Drosophila melanogaster: one gene and its partners. Changing the gene in region 1 together with any one later gene gives a genetic interaction. Each region holds a gene or a part of one and is shown on either strand. Other genes may lie near its edges.

What was found.
Region 2: of fru (region 1) and oaf, changing one suppresses a phenotype caused by changing the other (phenotypic suppression), as found in Drosophila melanogaster (one study listed by BioGRID).
Region 3: of fru (region 1) and dock, changing one suppresses a phenotype caused by changing the other (phenotypic suppression), as found in Drosophila melanogaster (one study listed by BioGRID).

Annotation. Positions count from the first base shown.
Region 1 is NT_033777.3:18,542,583-18,547,132, reverse strand, and holds the start of fru (fruitless), read left to right. Parts: upstream 1-1,546; 5' UTR 1,547-2,020; intron 2,021-4,550. UniProt on the Drosophila melanogaster protein: Probably acts as a transcriptional regulator.
Region 2 is NT_033779.5:2,491,292-2,498,976, reverse strand, and holds oaf (out at first), read right to left. Parts: upstream 6,023-7,685; 5' UTR 5,948-6,022; coding exon 5,681-5,947; intron 3,604-5,680; coding exon 3,490-3,603; intron 3,408-3,489; coding exon 3,089-3,407; intron 2,579-3,088; coding exon 2,280-2,578; coding exon of another isoform or gene 1,815-2,279; 3' UTR 131-1,814; downstream 1-130. Other genes in the region: Slh (SLY-1 homologous), read left to right, coding at 6,457-6,484, 6,559-6,718, 6,776-7,464, 7,535-7,685. UniProt on the Drosophila melanogaster protein: Vital for proper neuronal development and hatching.
Region 3 is NT_033779.5:824,105-831,990, forward strand, and holds the start of dock (dreadlocks), read left to right. Parts: upstream 1-1,864; 5' UTR 1,865-2,403; intron 2,404-5,200; exon of another isoform or gene 5,201-5,352; 5' UTR 5,353-5,431; coding exon 5,432-5,867; intron 5,868-6,040; coding exon 6,041-6,245; intron 6,246-6,633; coding exon 6,634-6,979; intron 6,980-7,072; coding exon 7,073-7,522; intron 7,523-7,609; coding exon 7,610-7,819; 3' UTR 7,820-7,886. Other genes in the region: CG3862 (uncharacterized protein), read right to left, coding at 329-1,693. UniProt on the Drosophila melanogaster protein: Adapter protein that links cell surface receptor tyrosine phosphorylation to downstream signaling pathways and effectors, many of which are involved in regulation of the actin cytoskeleton.

The DNA.
Region 1 (4,550 bases):
TGTAAACAGCGCAGGCCTTACAGAGAGAGAAAATGGGGGCAACTCGAAATGAGAGCGAGCGCGAGTCCTGGCGAGAGGAGACTTCGGCAAATGCCGGCCACGTGACATTGTTGCACTTCCTGGCCGCGCGCTTGTGTGTGTGTGTGTGTGTGTGTGTGTGGGCGCTTGATAAGCTTGCAACGAAGCTATTAATCAAAACAGAATCAAAAAATCCGCTTCGCTGTGTGCGTGCGAGAGAGAAACACGTGCCGGCCCAGTTAACAGAGGTCCTTTAGCAGCGCTCTGCTAACAACGCCGGTTGGCAACAGCAAACGTTGGTTGGCTTGGTTGGTGGAAAACTTTCCACTCGGCCTCTCTAATAATAGATTTTATCATTGCCGAGTAAACCGAGTCGGTGTATTTACTTCGTGTAATTAATGCCTGGCTGCTTTGCGATTTTAAGGTGGTTTAATCGGACGATTAGGTGGCTAGACGCTGGTATCAATTGGCCATTTCGCAATTTGCATTTTGTGGTAATCCATTTTCATATTGGTTGTCATTCCCGTAGGGGCAATGAGGCCGTATCGTGCCCCCTTCTAGCGGCGTATTAAGTCGATTGCAAGAGTCTCAAATGTATTCCGGCTTTAGTGCTCAGCTTGTTTGTCCAACACTTGGCACGCACACGCAGCTCCGCAGGTACAGTGTACACCCTGTAATCGGGATCGTAGCGAAAGCATATATTTAATACATTTTTGATAAATTGTTTGTTAGTTTTCCCTACTCATCAATTATTAACGTTAAGTTGCCTACTTATGTTTGCTATTCGTATTGAAATCATATTATATTCAATTAATATTTACTTAAAGTAAACATTGCCTTTTTAAAAATATATATATTTTCGTTTTCTAAAGCTAGTTAATTGAGTACCCACTGTATGTGGCAGTGTCCTTGTACTTTTACATAATAAATCAAACCCCACCGAAAGGAACGGAAATGAAAGTAAGGCAAGGAAGAGGAAGGAAACGAAAAGAAATGCCACTGCGGAAAGCCAAGAAAAGAAAAGTGCATTTGCACGCTAACAGGAGCTGTTACCATTTCACTGATAAGAGCCGGCAAGCGCGAACAGCTGTTCGAGAAAATCCTCGGAGAGAAAGCAGCCAAGGATATCGAGAGCATTTCTCTTCGCTGTAAACGGGCACTGTAAAGGCGGCCAGTTGTTGACTGGGAACTAAGCCAATTGCACAATGTGGGCCGAAGTTGATGTCGTGTTGCTGCTGTTGCTGCTGCTGCTGCTGCTGCTGTGTGTGTTGCAACACGAGCAACTACAAGTGCAACTACACAACCCTTCGACTGCAAGGACTTCGGCAGCAACGAGCATGTATATGTATTCCACCGAACCCACCATGTACTGCGTTTATGTGTTGCTGCTGCTTTTGCCTTTGACGCTGCTGCTGTCGCCGTGCTGCGCCTGCTGCTGCTGCGTTTCGTTGGTGCTGCGACAGCAGAGTCGTTGCAACAATCGCAGCTTGCACATCCAGCAGCAGTCAGTTGGACGCGGCGGCTCCTTCAGCAAGGACGCACAGCTCACACAATCCCTTCGAAGGAAATCAGCAGCCGACATACCGAACGACCTGCCACAACATTCCAATTCAAATCCAATCCAATCCAGACTTTGAAGTCCTGTAAAGCGTTTTACATTCCGCTTACATAAATGCTAGAGCGCTGTAAAAATCGGCGCTAGAAACGCCAATTAGCCAAACATGTTAGCCATGTTTTAGTCGGTCCTTTCGCGCTTGACTTGTTTTGCAACTGTGTGCGTACGTTTGAGTGTGCGAGTGCCGCCCGATTTTGTTTGTCCTTTTTTTTTCTGTTGGTGTCTCACCGAGTGCCGTTTTAAGCCAAGATACTACAGACATACTAGCGACTAGCTAATACATATTAACTTGTTGTGCCAGCGTTTTGTGTGTGCCAGTCAGCCTCTGCTGAGTGCATTTTCATTAAAGTCAACAAGTTGCAGCCGCATAAGGTCAAATAAAAGCAGGTGAGTCTGTGTTCCCGGCCAACAAGAGCCAGGTATTCCTATGTAAAGTTACTTAAAGTGCAGGTGATATGCTCTTCTGAGAGCAGATTTTATGTTGTTCAAATTGTATTAAGTGGTTTTGTGGAATACGTTAAGGGCACAGGTACAAAACCAATATTAAAAAAAAAACATTTGTTTGCTCATTTTCTTTGTATAAATATTTATTTTAACTAAGTCTTTTGAAAATTTTATAATGTGGGTTCTAAAAATATTTAAAGTGCATTCTCACTATGTGCTATCTATTATGAAGTACGTGTTTATCAATTAGGTTTTATATTTAAAAATGTTAGATAGGTTCGAAAACGTTGGGGTTTCCAAGTTTTAATATAAAATAAATATATTAAAATATTTGAGTGAGTATCCAAGCAGTTAATATCTATGGTACTGCAAGAAAATTCACTACGTTAACACATTTAAAAAATATTCATCCATTCACATCAGTACAGATGTATAAAATAATTAATAACAGGTCAGACAAATATATGGTCCTTATTTACCTTTAATAATTACAAAGAATTTTTAGAAAATTAAATCATAGAATCTACTGACAGAATTAAGATATACCTAAATTAAATTACAATAAATTATTTTTCTAAACCACATTGAGGTGTTTTGCAAGAATACTATACTGCTAAGAAACATTCGGTTCAGTTATAACAACAAAATCTTCGAAAACTTTTAACTAGCAAATTAAATTACAACAAAACCTAAAGTTGGCTGAGCACAATTCAAATTTCAGTTTCTTATATTTTATTAGCAAATATCAGTTTACTTCATCTGCATTTGATTCAGTTTATTCAGAAGTTCAGCAGACCAAGGCCAATTGCAAACTGGCTAATCCGTGTTACCAATTTATATTCAATAATATATTTGAGTACTCTTACATCTCCCCCGGCCAACATAAATTTGGTTTTTAAAGGCACCCAAAAATATTTTGACAAATTATGAGGTAGGAATGTGTAGTAAATATTTCCAGAGATTAAATGACAAGTCTAAAGGGAAAATATATCTACGCTCTTAATGATCCTTTGTAATAACTACAAATCTGTGGGCCGGGTGCATCCTGGCCGTGTCCTGGCCATGTCCTCAATTTCGTTGAGTTACAAAAGGTTTAAGTAAGTAAGCAAAACGGTAGGAATCGAGTAATCGCTCTCAGGGGCATAGTTTAATATTGGATTTGTAATGGAAATCAATATTGCCCGAGGAAAATTTATGCAGAGGCCAACAAAGAAAGCAAACCATTCAAATTGAACCGGGCCAATAAAATTGCAGTGCGAAGTTTGCGTCCGAGTTTGATTTGAGTTGTGCTGAATCGTCAGCCTTGGCATTGCCAATTTCATTAGGGGCCATAAAGGGAAAGAGTCCGCTTGTAATTGCAATTAGTTTTATCGTAACTTGCAGTTAAATAATCAAAACATTTTCCCAAGCTTCCGTCCCCATCGTCCGTCCACCGAAAACTCTTTGTAATGCAAAACTTTTTAATCCGACGCCTTGGTTTGTTTACACGAACTGCCAGCGCCCCGCCCACAGCGCCCCCGATCCCTATCCACACTCCAGACAATAACAACAACGTTGACAATAAAAACAGGATTGACAGGATACACCCCAGGAAGTCGATACGCTTAATACCCTTGCACGAAAAGTGCCTAAAAATAGATGGGAATCTATTTCGGTAGAAATTAGGATGATTTAAGAAAGTTACTCTTATTATATGAGTTAAAATAAAGTAAAAAGCAGACCATATCAACTTTAAATTAAAAAATGTGAACTCAAACGATGCAAGAGTATATAATATTTCAGTTAATCTTATTATGAAACAGAAAATCAAGTTAGAGCTTGTAAACTAAATGGATTAGGAAAAAATCGGGAGTATATATATTAATTTTTATAATGATTTGGCAAAATTATATTTTAAATTTCATTAGATAAATAGATACATCTCAAAGGATTTCCTTCGTAGAAAAAAATTGCTTGAAGGAAATGCTGAATAAACTCTTTAAATATTTTTAAAGTCGCATTTGTTTAATACAACTCCTATACAGTTGAGCATATTCTGAATAGCACTTACAAAAAAGTGCTTACCAAAGTTACTAGTTTTACTTCATAAAACAGTACTAGTGCGGCTGCATTTTCCTGAGAGGCTTGTAAAGTTCTTGTTGCAGCAGTGCGACTCCCTTTCAGGGTATGAAAATAAGAAAAATTTGCATATTTACACAAGACAATTTACACACTCTCCCAGTCGGCTGACTGAGTGACTGAGTGAAGGGCCCCTGCGAGGCAGGGACGCAGTTTTCCAGCGGGGCGCGGGAATGCGAGATTGAGTGGGTGGATTGAGGTTATTTTGTAAATTGTGTGTAAGCCGAACTGCTGCGACTGCAGCCTGATGAACAGCCAGTGCCAGAACCGTTACAAAAGTCCAACAAGTTGGGAGGTGGGAAAAGTCGGGGGAAGCACGGGAAAATATGGGTAAAATATGGGTGGAAGTAAAAGG
Region 2 (7,685 bases), on another chromosome or scaffold:
ATAGGTTGGCTATTCCGTGAGCCCTTCAATGATTAGGAAAATGCATTGCTAAACGAATGCAGTCGAAATCAATGCAAATAAGCCTAAAACAGAAATTCCAATCACAATAAAAGTCGGTGTCGAGTTTTTTCATTACTGAATTTTTTTATAAAACGTAGAATTCGTCAGCATTTGTATTAAGACTAATTATTAATTTCAATTTCTTAGTTAGGACTAGTCGATTAATCGTTAATATTGGCAAATGCTATTCACACAATTCAGATCATCGAGTCTTACCAGTTTTAAATGCTTAGTAATACTAATCAATTTCGTTTCCATTACATTTTATACAGTGAGTCAAAGGAGCTGTCTTCCTATATCGTAGAAAAAATTATTATCACCGTTGGTTTTTCTTGTTTTCGAAACTTCTGGTTTACAACTTCCGATTTTGGTTTAATTTCTTTTGTAGTACGCTTTTAGGAAAATATGCCATTCTAACACTCTAAGAAGACTAGGTTCTTGAAATTTATACAATAGATTATTGTTCTTGGTATTGTTTATTATTGGTATCAATCAATTTGCTTAAGGTTTTGCCATCGTTAAGGTATTTCATTTGTTTCGAATACAAAGTGGAAAAGGTTACAAGTCAAAGGCAAAAAGGCAGGCGTGTTTACGGTCTAGTTTATAAGGATTAGATTTGAAGGGAAAGATTAGTAGGAAAAAAAACGGGAGTGGGTATCTCAAACAGCCATTTTCGAGTGGTAAAATGCAAAAGCTTTTTATTTTTTTTTATGCGGCATTCGTTTTGGTTAGTAGAATTCTTCATCTACATTCACCATTCCCCAAATGGCCATATATCTTATTCTTGTGGTTTTTCTATTACAACTATTATGAGCACAATTAATTCCGAGTTTTGCCAACGCCTGACATACATACATATTCCTTAGTTCAATGAATGTACTTTTTCTACCGCTCGTAAAATATGCTAAGGCCACATTTAATTTATTTATACTTCTATTCCTATTTAATCTTCTTGAGCTCAACGCAACACGGGTGGAGAGGGCGTGGAACGCGATATTGTGTCCAACAATCTTAATACATCTAATCAGGCTTCAGTTAAGGTAAGTGAAGTGGAGATAAAGGCAAACAAAGGAAACATAAAGCGCTCTAAAAGGGTAATTGAAACGAAATTGCTGCGCACAATGTACATGGAAAAGTATGAAGTGAACGGGCAAAGTAAACAAATTGAAAATGGACTTGAAAGGTGAGCAGGCAAGAAAGCTGGAAGGAAGATGGCTATAAATTCTCAAATACTTTGGAAAAAGTTAAGAAAGATCTAAAGAGTGATAGATAATTACAAGAAAGGTGCTGCACTATAATTAAATCAATAAGTTTTAGGTTTTAAAGCTATGTCATAGGAAATGTAAATGATTTGATAAAAGATCACACTGTAGTAGGAAAGGATTAAATGGCAAAGGAGTACGTCTCAGAAGTGCTTAACTCTTAATTCTGCGAGCTCTCTTAGGATTTAATTAAATAAGGACACCTAATCTAGGTCTAAACTTAAATCCGGCATAAGCGTAAAACGTAAGCTGGCTAAAAGCTAATCATCGTTAAATATACATATATATACATAGTATACAGAAGCACTTTTTTACATTTATTTCGTTTTACTCCTTTTTTGCTGTAGTATAACCTTCACCCAGTGGCTTGCATTCGAATGTCCGCGTCCAGAATCGTCTTGAATCGTGAGCGGAAAAAGTGTCAGCATTCGTTTTTTTCCTGGATGTGTAGTGTAGTGGATTGTGTAAGTTGGGTTTTTCAAGCGTTCATTATCACGCAACGATGGCGGCCATTGCGGACGACGACGACGACGATGATGATGATGGCGGTGATGATGATGTTGACGGTGTTGGTGGTGTTGATGATGATGACTGGTGATGCGAAGTGGGGGCAACCTGAGAATGATGCTGATGCTGCTTCTGCTGCCGGCTGGGCTTATGTTGGGACTGGGACTGGTGATGGGACTGGGAAATGTGATGGACCGGAAAACTCCACAGAGCAAAAGGCATCTGCTGCTGGACCAACAAAAGCAGTTGGCGTAATTTGTTGGTTGTCGTTGTTGTCGCTGCCGTTGTATCCTTCCCACTTCCCCCAGCTCCCCCGCCAGTTATTGTCGCGGTCGTGGTTGCTGCTCTTGTTTCGCCACCCGGGCAGGTGGCACTGGCATCATCCCCAAACTCGCTACCATTCCGCCGCCTCGCGCAGCGCATCTGCATCAGCTGCAGCTCGCCGCGTCGTCATTCATCCCAGAGGCACTGTTGTTTCTGCCGCACATAATAGGTGAACTGTGTGCACTTGCGGCAGGTCTTGATGCCGCAGCGATAATTCGTCGGCTGTGCCTGCTGCTGGGCGCCCGACGAGTCCGCTCCGGCGACTCCCTTGCCCTTGCAGTACTTGAGCCCGCAGGGATACCAGCCGATGCAGGTCTCCAGGTTGCACAGGCAGGGCGCCCACAGGCTGCTCACCTCGTTGCAGCGCGTCGAGAGCGTGTCCGGGAACTTTTCGGTGGCGGCCTCCAGGCTGGAAATCGAGGAGCCTGCCAGGAGCAGGAGTACAACGAACGGAAAGCGAAACAAAAGCGTAAACAAAAAGTTTGAAAGTGGCAAGAACCCTCAAAACTGGTCGATATCTGTACTGAAGTTTTCCATCTACCAAGATTTCAGACGGATTTCTCTAACTAACTTTCCTAACTTTCGATTAACATGTTTTTGTTTTAATAATTGGTAACTCTTTAAAAGGCAAAACTGGAAATGAATGCTTTAACTTTTTCCTCATTGTATATATGCACGTACTGCTTTTATAGATTCGTTTTAATAATTTTGTTTGTGCAAAACTTCAACCATATTGCGCAGCGCACGCGATGACTTTTTATAGGTAGAACTTTAAATAATCAGCAGCGCAAACGGTTTTAATATTATCCAAAAAATTGAAAACAATTAAAAAGAAAAACATTCAACCATAAATGTGCTTTAAAATTACTTATAGGGATATTCCATTTAAAGATTTACCAATTTCACGCACTGAACATCCCCAGGGAAGCACTCACCTGGTAGCTCCGCCCAAGCTTTAAGGTCCACATCCCGGACATAGGTGGCGTCCATGGCCTCGGCGCAGAGTCCCTGCAGATGTCTGGTGATGGGCAGCGAGCGGTTGAGCTGTACCCAGCTGCTCATGGTGAAGGTCTCACGGCCCTTGTCCTCCTCGGGAGTGCGGATGGTGTGCGGATTCTTCTGGCGCAGCTTGGCCATTGCCGCCGAGGAGATGAAGTCGCCCTTGTTGAACTTGGTTGCGAAGCACATGACCTGGTACTGGCTCTGGCCACGCTCCTCCTCGCCGAGAACCAGAGCCTTGAGGATTTGAACCTCCTGAGGGGAAGATGGATAAGAGGTTTTCAATTTCAATTGGGTCTCTCGCCCTGCTCTCTAGAGCCTCGGATTCTTCACTCACATTGCGAAAGTCGATGACCTGGGTGATGAGCGTTCCGTCGGTCTTCTGAAACTCCAGCGTTATCAGGTCCTCGCCAATGTTGGAGGTAATACTCTCCTGGATCACCTCGCCGCCCTGCAAAAAATGAAAAACAGGAAATGAAACGGATTAGAGAGAGCAACAAGTGTTAAATTACATTCTCGGCATCCCTCCCCTAGCCAGCTAAAATATTAATACGGCACAAAGGCAGTGACGAGATGTTGCAGAGGGGTTCCTTACGTTGTCAGGACTTAAATTAACTATGACAGCTCCTGAAGCTGGGCGGCCATGAACCAAATTAGAGTCAAGAGAGTTGAAAAATAGAAAAAAGACAAGCATGGGGGCCAACGAAAACGAAACGAAGATGAGTGGGATGGGTTTTGGCAAAAGGGAAGGATGGGTTTTGGGTATGAAGATGAGAGCGGAGGAGCCAACTCCTCATTCCACGACAACTGGAAATGTAGTTCAACAACAACAGCAGCAGTATTTGCCCTCAACACGTGTACATGAACCAATTTGTTGGATGTGGGTGATGTTGTTGTTATGATACCCTGGTATAGACTAATTTCACTGCTCTGATTACAGATATCTTAATACTGATGTCATTTAGTAGCTGGTACAGAATGTCGACTAATTAACTATTAGAACTAGTATGATTAAGAACTGGATTTCATAGGGTATATCGGGATTCGACCCTTGCAACAACTATGCTTTCTGCTTTGTTCTTGTTTCTGCTGGGTTTTCCGTGTGTTTGCACAAGGGCGCATGTAAACAAAGAATAGCCGAAAGAAGTGAGAAGAGAAGAGGAAGTATGGAGGAGCGAAGGAAGAGAGCCATCAGGACATTTTGGGGCCAGGGACAGAGCGCAGAGAACAATGAAGGATGTCACATGTAAACAAAGATGTACGAAAATACGCTGTGTGCAAGTGAAATAGGGAAAGAGAGAAAGAGAGAGGCTGCCTTCATTTCAAGCCCGGTGCTTTTTCGGCCAGCTAATCTAAAATTTATGGAAAAGCCGAAAGCAAAGTGTCAATATTGAGGCAGTCAAACAAACCCAACTAATATTAAAGTGGAAAAACGAAACGACAGGCAAGTGAAAGTTTCAATACTGGCATTGAACTGCACATATGTATATGTCGCATTACGGATGTATTCTGACCACTGTACGTGTCTGTCATATTATTACCATGGTTTGACCACTGTGCTTGCAAGACGCAGCTGCGCAATGAGTTCGGTATATTGAGAGGTCATTCTTAGAATTTGACTATCACGAAGAATATGACTGGCGTCAAAGTACCGTTACGAGTGAGGCGACGGCGTTGTCGCGCTGTCGCCTAGTTGGACTACACTAGCGTGTGTAAAGGATAGATCGATGCGTAGAAAATACGATCAGTTGCATACAGACGATCGCGCACGCCGGTTGGAATTCGCTTCACTCAACATGGGAGATCAGGCACAAGAAAATGTCAACGCTGCGACATATGCATGTACATACATATGTACATAATGGCGTTGCAAGCATATAGAATAGAGCTTTGTTTTATGGTCATCAGGCATCGATGGATTATCTGGCCTACTTAACGGTATACTAATTAGATATCGGCGAAGTACAAGCTCACAGAACATGTTTCCATTCGGAGAATCCTGTATTTTGCATAAATCAATAGGGGACATGATTTGTTGTGCACATGTGTGCTGCACGAATCAACGTGGGCTGTGTATGCGTGTGTGCAATCCTTTACATTTGCAACTTATTGGATGAACTGCGTGTTCTTAAGAACGAACTAAGCATTGTTTATGAAATACCGAATCCTTGCTAATTCTAAAAGCAATATATTGGCGTATTTTACAATATGACTAGGCAAATTTTAAATTTCAGATACATATACTTGTCATATTCTACTGTCATAGCTGTAATAACTGTCACTGAATTACTATCTTTTTAATATTTAATTTGTTGTTTTCGCAGATTTGTTTATTTGTCTTGAGCACCTCTCTTTCGCTCTCTCATTCTCCCGCGTTTTAAATTTGTTTTGTTTTGGCGCGCAAATTTTCGAAATGAGATGTTCGAAAATCAGATGGGCAGCGCTGCCAGCGTCGCTGTTTGTCGTTGTTGCGTTTTGCGTTGTTGGGATTTAAGTGTTTTAAACCATTTTTTTTTGCGATTTCGCACCTGATTTTGGACGTTAATGAGCAGCTGGGAGTGGGCGAATGCGTCCGCGTTCATCACTAAGTTGCACAGCAGGAACCACAGAAACGCGCGACTGTGCTTGAAAAAGTGATTTTTACTGACGACGCGACCGCAGCAATTGCCGTGCGCTGGTGTTCGAGTGCGGCTGAGTGCCTTAAGATGCGCCATTCGCCAGCGGACCTGCGCCTGCCTTGCCGCATTTGCGGCAGTTTCGATGCTCTGGTGTGGGTGCTCCTCCTTTAAGATCATTGCGATCCGACAACTTTTAAATAAAATCACAAGAAAGCACAACGAACCACTCGCGTCGACGAACGAAAAATAACTGGCAGAAAATGGTGAAACTGACTGAAACGTGACTTTTCGAAATCAGCTGACAGGTGTGACCGTGCGGTAATCCCAAAGGGTGCTGCCAACCTTCTCGAACAGGAGCCTACGAATTTCGATTGTAGAAAATATACCAACCCAATATAGCTGCATTACACTGGCACACATATCTATATCTATAGAATAAATAGACTACATTCATTTTCATTTAGTATTTAAATATTCATATTGGAATTTCCACTGCATACGTTCACACCAGCCGCACAGCTGATGCCTGTACTATGCACTAAAATTTCCCAAAACGCGTTGCCTCGCCGTCGCTTGTGACGTGTTGTTTTTTTGTAAAATATGTTTTTCAGCTGCTAAAACGGACATAGATTGTTGAAAATCCACTGAAACTAACTCAGAAGGACGGGCTAAAGACGGACTATATAATGCTGACCCTGCGGGAGCGCCAAATCAGTGAGAAACTATGAAAACAATGCCCCCATTGAAGGGAAAACCTAATTAATGGATTTTCATATTAATCATTGCAGATGCCATTAAGCAGATGCTTAATTTGAACTCGCAGCAGCCGAAAGCCCTAGCTGCCGAGCCCGTGTGGAAGATCCTTATCTACGATCGCGTTGGCCAGGACATCATATCGCCCATTATTTCCATCAAGGAGCTGCGCGAGTTGGGCGTGACGCTGCATGTGTAAGTTGTGCGAGATCCTCCAGGAATCCAGAAATTATAGCTTTGGTTAACCTCCAGGCAACTGCACTCGGATCGCGACTCCATTCCGGATGTGCCGGCTATATACTTCTGCCTGCCCACCGACGAGAATTTGGACAGGATTCAGCAGGACTTCTCGAGCGGACTGTACGACGTGTACCACCTGAACTTCCTAGCTCCCATAACGCGCAGCAAAATCGAGAATCTGGCCGCCGCAGCCCTGCATGCCGGCTGCGTGGCCAACATCCATCGCGTTTACGACCAGTATGTGAACTTCATCAGTCTGGAGGATGACTTCTTCATCCTAAAGCACCAGCAGAGCGATCAGCTTTCATACTACGCCATCAACCGGGCCAACACCCGCGATGAAGAGATGGAGGCCCTGATGGACTCCATTGTAGACTCGCTCTTCGCCCTGTTTGTGACCCTGGGCAATGTGCCCATCATCCGCTGTCCGCGGAACAGTGCCGCTGAAATGGTGGCACGCAAGCTGGAGAAGAAGCTGCGCGAGAACCTTTGGGATGCGCGTGCCAATTTGTTCCACATGGATGCCACGCAAGCCGGCGGCGGAGTGTTCAGCTTTCAGAGACCTGTGCTCCTGCTGCTGGACAGGAACATGGATTTAGCCACGCCGCTCCATCACACCTGGTCGTATCAGGCGCTTGTGCACGATGTACTGGACTTGGGACTGAATCTTGTCTACGTGGAGGACGAGACGGCTAGTGCGGGCAAGTAAAATTACTTTTATCAAGGCGCTGAATAACTGAGACTCACCAACTACGTTTTCCTATTCTTTAGGAGCCCGCAAAAAACCCAAGGCCTGTGACTTGGACCGCAACGACCGCTTCTGGATGACGCACAAGGGCAGTCCATTTCCCACGGTGGCCGAAGCCATCCAGGAGGAGCTGGAATCCTATCGGAACTCCGAGGAGGAGATCAAGCGCTTGAA
Region 3 (7,886 bases), on another chromosome or scaffold:
GTACACGCGCACAGACACACTGCGGCATTCCAAGTACATATTTTATATATATGCTCTTAAACTCTATTCTAACAATTAATGTATAGAACGGATTCAGAACGAAGCTATTTACAGCAAAAACAACCTGAGGGCGGAAAACATGGCAACTATCAGCATGCGTAAGAGAAACAAGTAAATTAATCTAAATGTTCTTTAAACTACTTACATGTATTAAACGCGAATTTGTGATCTTTAGCAGTGTGATCTTTATTGGTTGGGCTGCCACTGGCAATAGTATTTTCGACTAGAGTATACTTTAAGTTAACTAATCTAAAACAAACAGCTTAATCTAGAAGAACGGCTTGCACAAGGCAATGGTGTGATCCACTCCGTAGGCCACTTTGGTGACCTTTCCGTTGATGGCCGCCTTAAAGGGAAAGAACTGGTCCTTCTTGTGTCCCAGCCCCAGATGCCCGAACCTGTTCTTGCCCCACATGAAGAGATCTCCGTCCGAGTTGACGGCGCCCATGTGAAACACTCCGCATCCGATGGAAACCACTGTGGTTTCGTTGCTGAAGTCATTTCGTCCGAATAAAGGCGGCAACAGATGCTGCGGCTTGGATGTTTGCTCCACGAAGGGTCCGAAGCCGAGGATGCCAAAGCCCCAGGTGTACACCAGACCCTGGTCGTTGAGGGCCATGCAAAATGAGCCTCCCGCAGCCACATCCTTGATTTTCCCGATGGACTTCGTTAGTTTGAGAGCTCTAGGGATATTTATTTGGGTTTCGGCCAGCTCTGAGTCATCTAGCTGTCCGTACTCAGAATTGCCCCAGCCAAAGGCATCGCCCGCCTCGTTAAGGGCCAAAACGCAGTCCGAGGAGCAGCTGAGCCGCACAATCTTCTCCTTTTCCACATCTCCTCCAATCAGGGTTATCTGCCCGGCGGTGTGGTAGTTTCCCTGACCTGTTTGACCATCCGCACCCCAGCCACATGTGTAAATGCGTCCCTTTTTGGTAAGAAACATGCTGTGGTCCTGGCCGCACTCCACCTGGACCACCTCATCCTCCTTGCCGCATATATCTTCCTGCGATATCCTGTGGATCAGGGCACTCTTGCTGTACCGCTCCTCCTCTATGATGGAGCGGCCACATTGGCCGTACGAATTGTTTCCCAGGGTGAAAATGGTTCCGTTTTGGGTCAGAACCACCAGGTGAGCTCTACCCGCCGACATGCTCTTCACACGCATGTCCTCGTCTGTTTCTCCCTGAACTCTCGGCAGTTTAATGGCTGTAGGATAAATGATCACGTCAAGGTTGGCCGGATCATTGGGATTTCCCTTCACCTGGAAACCCAGTTGGGAGTCGGTGTTCAAACCGCTGCCAAAGAGCGTCTCTCCGTCATCTCTATTCACGGCGTAGACCGTGAACCCGTAGCCGGCGGCCACATCCGTGATTTCGTTGTTGTTGGAGAACTGCAAGCGGGTGGGATGGTGCACCATCTCCGTGTAGCGTTCCTTGGCCTTCTTCACGTTGGTCTGGAGACCGAGAGCGCCGGTTTCCTGAAAGCCCCACACGTAAACTCGGTGCTCATGGCTGTCCGTCGTCTTCGGTGAGTACTCCTTGATCTTCGACTTGTCCTGCGCCAGCACACCCCTCTTCGCCTTGGCGGTGTACGACCTGCTGATGCCAAGCACAATACCCCGAGTTTTCAGCATGGTATTTCGGGTTAAACCAACCATGTAATCCAAAATCATAACAAAAACGCCACCCGATATCGATAGACCCGATGACCGGACAAGTGCTGCACAGCGCGCAACGTGCTTATCGATAGTTCGCTAAGAAAAACCGCTGATACGCCACCTGACAGCCCTGGTCGTGGTCAATCGCTATCGCCTTCCGCACATCGAAATCGGATGGGCGACGTGAAAGAAACGGCTCCGGCAAAATCATTAAAATTTAATTAGTTAACCGCAAGAGAGCGCTGCAAAATTGTGCAAACAATTTGCCACTTAACGCAGTTAACGTGTGCGGTAATCAGAAGCGTGGAAAAGCGTTTATTTGTCAGGATTTGTGTGTTTTTCAATCGCGGCAGCAGCATATGTACACACACACAGGCTCACCCCCGCCCCACTCACACACACACACTCACGCCTAGGTGTATTATAATTAAAGTTGTGTTTTAAGTGTGTGTAAAGTGCAATAGCCCAGTGGAAAGTGGAAGTGATATAGAGTGCGTTCCAGGAGTTCCAGGAGCAGTGTCTTATCCCATGTCTTCCACTCCCAAATCCTGAGGATTGCCAAGGGTTAAGACCGAGAAATACGGACTCCGACTTTCCGGATAAGGATACGGATACGGATAAGGAGTGCCAGGATAAGGAGATCCAGGAGGAATATAGGAGTTGCCAGTCCAACCGCTTCGTCTCCGGTAGGTACACACAAAATATTCGGCTGCTCCTTTTTAGCTCCTGTTCGAATCTCTCACGGCTCTCTCTCTCGGCTCTCTCTCTCTCTCTCTTGACCTGCGCTCTCTCTCTTTATCTCGCCCTCGTCACCTGGTGGTGCGTAGTCCTTTGGCTCGGTCCACCACCCGCCCAGTGGGCGGTGCTGCAACCCTTAGCCCTCCGCTTTCCATCACCTTTTTTTGGGTAACCATGGTCGTGTTTACGGCAAACTGTGCCACCGATATATATGTGTGTACATATGTACCCTTTCCCTTGTCTAGATAGATGAAACAGATAAATCGTGAAGATGCTTCACTTACCATAAATCTATAATATGTTCATTGCTCAAATACTACTATAGTAGGTACTTGTGTTTTTCAAAAGCCTGTGCCAGGTACAAAAGCTTGTACTCTTAACAACACTGGGAACGAGTCCTGCCATCCTTTGCAGGACGAGAAGTCCACCCTCTCGCTGCCAAAAAGCCACCACCTCGCAGAGATTTTGCGCAGCATCTCTAAACGAAACGGCCGGCAAATGTCGCAAACTCCCTCGGCAACAAAAGCCAAAAAAAAAATACAAAATACAAAAAACAAAACCGAAACCGAAACCCCATTCGAATCCCATTCCCCAGCAAAAGCATCTACTTAATCAACCCGGGCGGGAGTGGACTCCCAGCTCCCTGAATGAGTGATCTTATGTAAACAGGCTGCCCTTTGCCTCCCACGCCCCGAGATCCAGATAAGAGTGCCCCACTTTCAGTTCCTCCATGGCTGCCCCATCCATCCACCGAAGTCGTAACTCAATGTTATAGACCCAAATGCTCCCGTTTCGGGGCCACCAATTCGTTCGTGATGGCTTTTCTTGGGGACCAATGACTATACTCCCTCGTCTGGAACCGATCTTCAACCAATACACAGACACAGCACGGGGAAACAAACTTTCCGCCTCATAAACTTGTGGGCTTGTCCCCCAAGCACGTGCAACTCTTTCTTTCTCTCAGCGAAAAGACGAACTGCTGTCAGGAAAACAATGAACGAGTGCACCGGAAAAAAACATAAATGTTTGTCATACGGGAAGCTAAGAAATCATACCACAAAGAATTCTTTAAAAATATATATTCATTTATTGCAGTAGCAGTAGGGAATCTTATCAAATCATAGTTCATAATATATTTTTTGACAATTTCTCCGCGCTAACGAACTTATCAGCAAGTTCCTTCCGATTTCTTCGGATTTTATCAGCAGTGTAATGTCAATGTCTCGGCTGTTGGGCTTATGCAAGCGCAAACAATAACAAAACAATCACCAAGCCAAAGAAATCCAAACACCGATCCGAATCCAACGGTGGTGCATTTCAGTTCATTGGCAGCCAGCCAGCCAGCCAGGCGTTTCATGTTTACCAAGTCCCCAAGCGAACCGAACTGAACCGCCCCCTTATCACTCCAGCATTTGCATAAATATAATCTTTTTCGGGTTCTTTCTCCGTTTCTATCTGGGTTCGGTTACGGTTTCACTCCCGCTTTCTCCTCTCAAAAAATAGGGAAAACACACAGACAATTCGCACAACAGTGAATCACTTTGCGACCAATGCTTCGGTTAAACAGGTACTTCTCCGTATCTCTAGCTAACGCAAAAACCTTTGACTAATCGATGGTAAAGTAAACAAAAACACTCGTTATCACATGGAGATTATTATGGCCAAAATTCGAACAGGAAGCACGATTAGAAGTTTACCGGCAAAACAAATTTATGCATTGCCTGCATTTCTTATTATATACGTATGGGTCAGTTGCTAATAGATATTGCACCGAAATGCCAGAATTGAATGGCATTAGAGCTCTCGAAAACACTTTCAGCTGACTCAGCCTCTCGTGTATGACCTAACAGTCATTGAAAAGCGAAACCAAGATTGGCCTAGAGTCAAAGACCGAGTAGAGCGTTTTCTCAACGTGGCCCACACTTATTGATTTTTAATTATCCAAAGATGGCCCTCGGCTATGACATTGACTTTGATTTTGTTGGCTCGCCAACCTGGCCAACGAACTCGGGAAGCCTCTCTAGAGATCTCTGGCCGAAATAACCTTCTGTGCCGCCCGCTAACTGCCTTATGTCACTCGGTAAATCTCGGTTAAGAAACCAATTTCCCAATACCCCCGACCATTCACGTTCGTGACTCATTGCGGTCGAATGTCTCAGTTGATTTCTGTGTCTTTCTTGGCCTGAAATGGCCCGGATTTTGAGTCTCTGGTTCTCCAGCCTCGGTGAGGCTGCCCCGTTGAACAAATCAATACCCGATGGCCACTTATTCGCTCGCCTGGCAATTGGATTCAATTGAGTGGAGTCAGTCGGAGGCAACTTTCACTTGCACAGATTTTAATTGCCCCACAACTGGAATGGCCAGATCCCTCAGCCCCCATATCCATCTCCCGCTCATATTATCATCATCATGATCATCACAACACAAACACTTCACTCATTCATCTTCATCGCCGGCTCGCTGACCCCAAAAACAAACATTCATCTCTCGGCTAATTTTGAGTTGATTTCCTATTTGGTATTTCGAGTTTGAGTACTTGCATTGTATTTTTTAAGCTAATCATTTTTACGCTCTTTAGCTTCTTCAGTGCGAAACAATTAAGCCTAATTTGCATATATCATTTGCTCTCTTTTTCTTTCTTTCTTCGTTCGTTGCTTATGTTATTGCGTTGCTTATGTTTACTTTGCCACGCCTACGCTTCCGCCCACGCTCACGCCCATTCGCCCCCTGAAACCACGCCCACAGCAATTATGCATTGGCTAGAGGCGATTTGCAGCAAGCTTAGAGTGCCAGCGAGCAACTGCAACACATAACCAAACCATCAAAGACTTGTTGTTCATCAACTCCAACCCCAACTCCAAGTCCACCAACACTGAGCCACCGCCTCTTGCCTCCAGGAGCATCACCAGGAGCATCAGGGCAGTCCCAGCTGGAGGAGCAGGAATCCCCCCGCGGCGGAGGAGCAGCCAGTCTGGAATGTTGGAACACCCCCAGCGGTTTGTGCGCAACATCCCCGACTCCTCAGCCAGTTCGCAGCAGTATCCGCAGCAGCAGCAGCATCCGCCACAGCTGCCGCAGCACCAGAATCTGAATCTCAACCAGAATCAGAACCTGAACCAGAATCAGATCTACCAGTACCGTCCCCAGGTGCCCGTGCCCGTTCCCGGCTCACCTGCCCATCACCAGCGGCACTCTTCGCTCTCCCAGCAACAGCAGTTGCACCACCACCGCACCCTGTCCACCGCCTCCTCCTGCAGCGCCCAGCACAAAAGTGTGACCTTCGGCCAGCCAGCGCTCGACTGCGGCGGCAACGGCAGCGGAAGCGCCAACGGAAGCGGTAGCGGCAACTCCTCCAGTGGCAGTGCCGCCGGCAACGCTGGAACCCAATCAATGGCGGGCAACATGAAGCACGGTGAGCAACTGCAACACAATAACCTCACAGCGAGAAGAGCATTGGGTGTAGTAAAAGGATCTAGGATTTGTATGCTAATGAATTTGTGGTTCTATCATACTGGCCCATTTTGCTTTTCTAACTGTGTGTGCACTTGGTACTCTTCTAACCTGTTCCTGTTAATCACTCCGCAGGCAAATCTCAGGACGACGTCTGCTACGTGGTAGCCAAGTACGACTATGCGGCGCAGGGTGCCCAGGAGCTGGATCTGCGCAAGAACGAGCGCTACCTGCTGCTGGACGACTCCAAGCACTGGTGGCGCGTCCAGAACAGTCGCAACCAGTCCGGCTACGTGCCAAGCAACTATGTGAAGAAGGAGAAGCCCTCGCTCTTCGACAGGTGCGTCAGATTCCTGGCCCGACTAAACCTAAGCGTTCTTCTTGCTCTGATTTCAGCAGAATTAAGCCCTCTATACCTGTATCTGTATCCGTATCCGTAGATGTATCTGTATCTCTATCGCGTTCAAATACCCGCCTCCACCTTTTGCTTTGGCTATCGTAATTTAACTTATAACTGCTTTCGGCTTTTGTATTTTGTATTTCAAAACAACAAATTCGTTTTGATTTCGTTGTCTGTCGAGCCCCACTTGCCCCTAAAAACTAAAGATCCACTAACACCCAAACCAACTAGGGCTAGTCTAACCCACTTTAAACCGCCAATGAAATCTAACCATAAAACTTCATCCCAATACTGATCGTGAATATTTTGATTTACGATTTCTGTGCAGCATTAAGAAGAAGGTGAAAAAGGGCTCCGGATCGAAGACACTGCCTAATTGTTCGCCTTCGCGACAGGTCGAGAGTCCAACCATGTCGCGCCGACTTCCCCCAGATCCCGCAGAGGCCATCGGAACGGCTGTGGTCAAGTATAACTATCAGGCCCAGCAGCCCGATGAACTTTCGCTGACCAAGGGCACACGAATCCTCATCCTGGAGAAGTCCAACGATGGATGGTGGCGTGGACAGAGCGGCAATTCCGTCGGCTGGTTCCCCAGCAACTACACAACGGAGGATTGTGATAACGACGGCGAGATCCACACCTACGCAATGGCCGAGAACGTGCTTGATATTGTGGTGAGTAACTGGACGTGTTCTCAAAATAAACATTCACATCATCTATGAGAGGTTGTCATTATTGGCTAATAACAACTATTTTCAAATATATAGGTCGCGCTGTACAGCTTCACGTCAAACAACGACCAGGAGCTCTCGTTCGAGAAGGGCGATCGCTTGGAGATCGTGGATCGGCCCGCCTCCGATCCGGACTGGTACAAAGCTCGCAACAATCAGGGCCAAGTCGGTTTAGTTCCACGCAATTATCTCCAAGAGTTGAACGACTACCTGGCCACGCCCTATCGTAATGCGAGTGCCAGTGCAGGAAACGGAAATGGAGGAGGAAGTAATGGCGGCGCAGGTGGTGGCGGAGGAAACGACTCCATGGAGCGGCGCAATGAGGGTAATAAGCCGGCGGCGCAATCTTCCGGCCAGCCAATCGAGCGGCCAAATCTGGCGGGCAAGTCGTGGTATTATGGAGCCATCACCCGCAGCCAGTGCGACACGGTGCTCAACGGCCACGGGCACGATGGCGACTTCCTCATCAGAGACAGTGAGACTAACGTAAGTGGAATTCGCAATTGAAGTGCCATAACATAGTTCCGCCCGAATTCTTTGAGAGTGTATAAACGAATTCATCCTTTCTTGCAGATGGGAGACTATTCGGTTTCGTTAAAGGCCCCAGGGCGCAACAAGCACTTCCGCGTGCACGTGGAGCAGAACATGTACTGCATTGGGCAGAGGAAGTTCCACTCGCTGGACCAACTGGTCGATCACTACCAAAGAGCGCCCATCTACACGAATAAGCAGGGCGAAAAGCTGTATCTGGTGCGATCGCTGCCGAAGGCCAATGGCACGTAAGCAGGTCCAGGACTGGAGCAGAGAAATCTCAGCATTCATATTACCCGTATTCAACAACACACATATG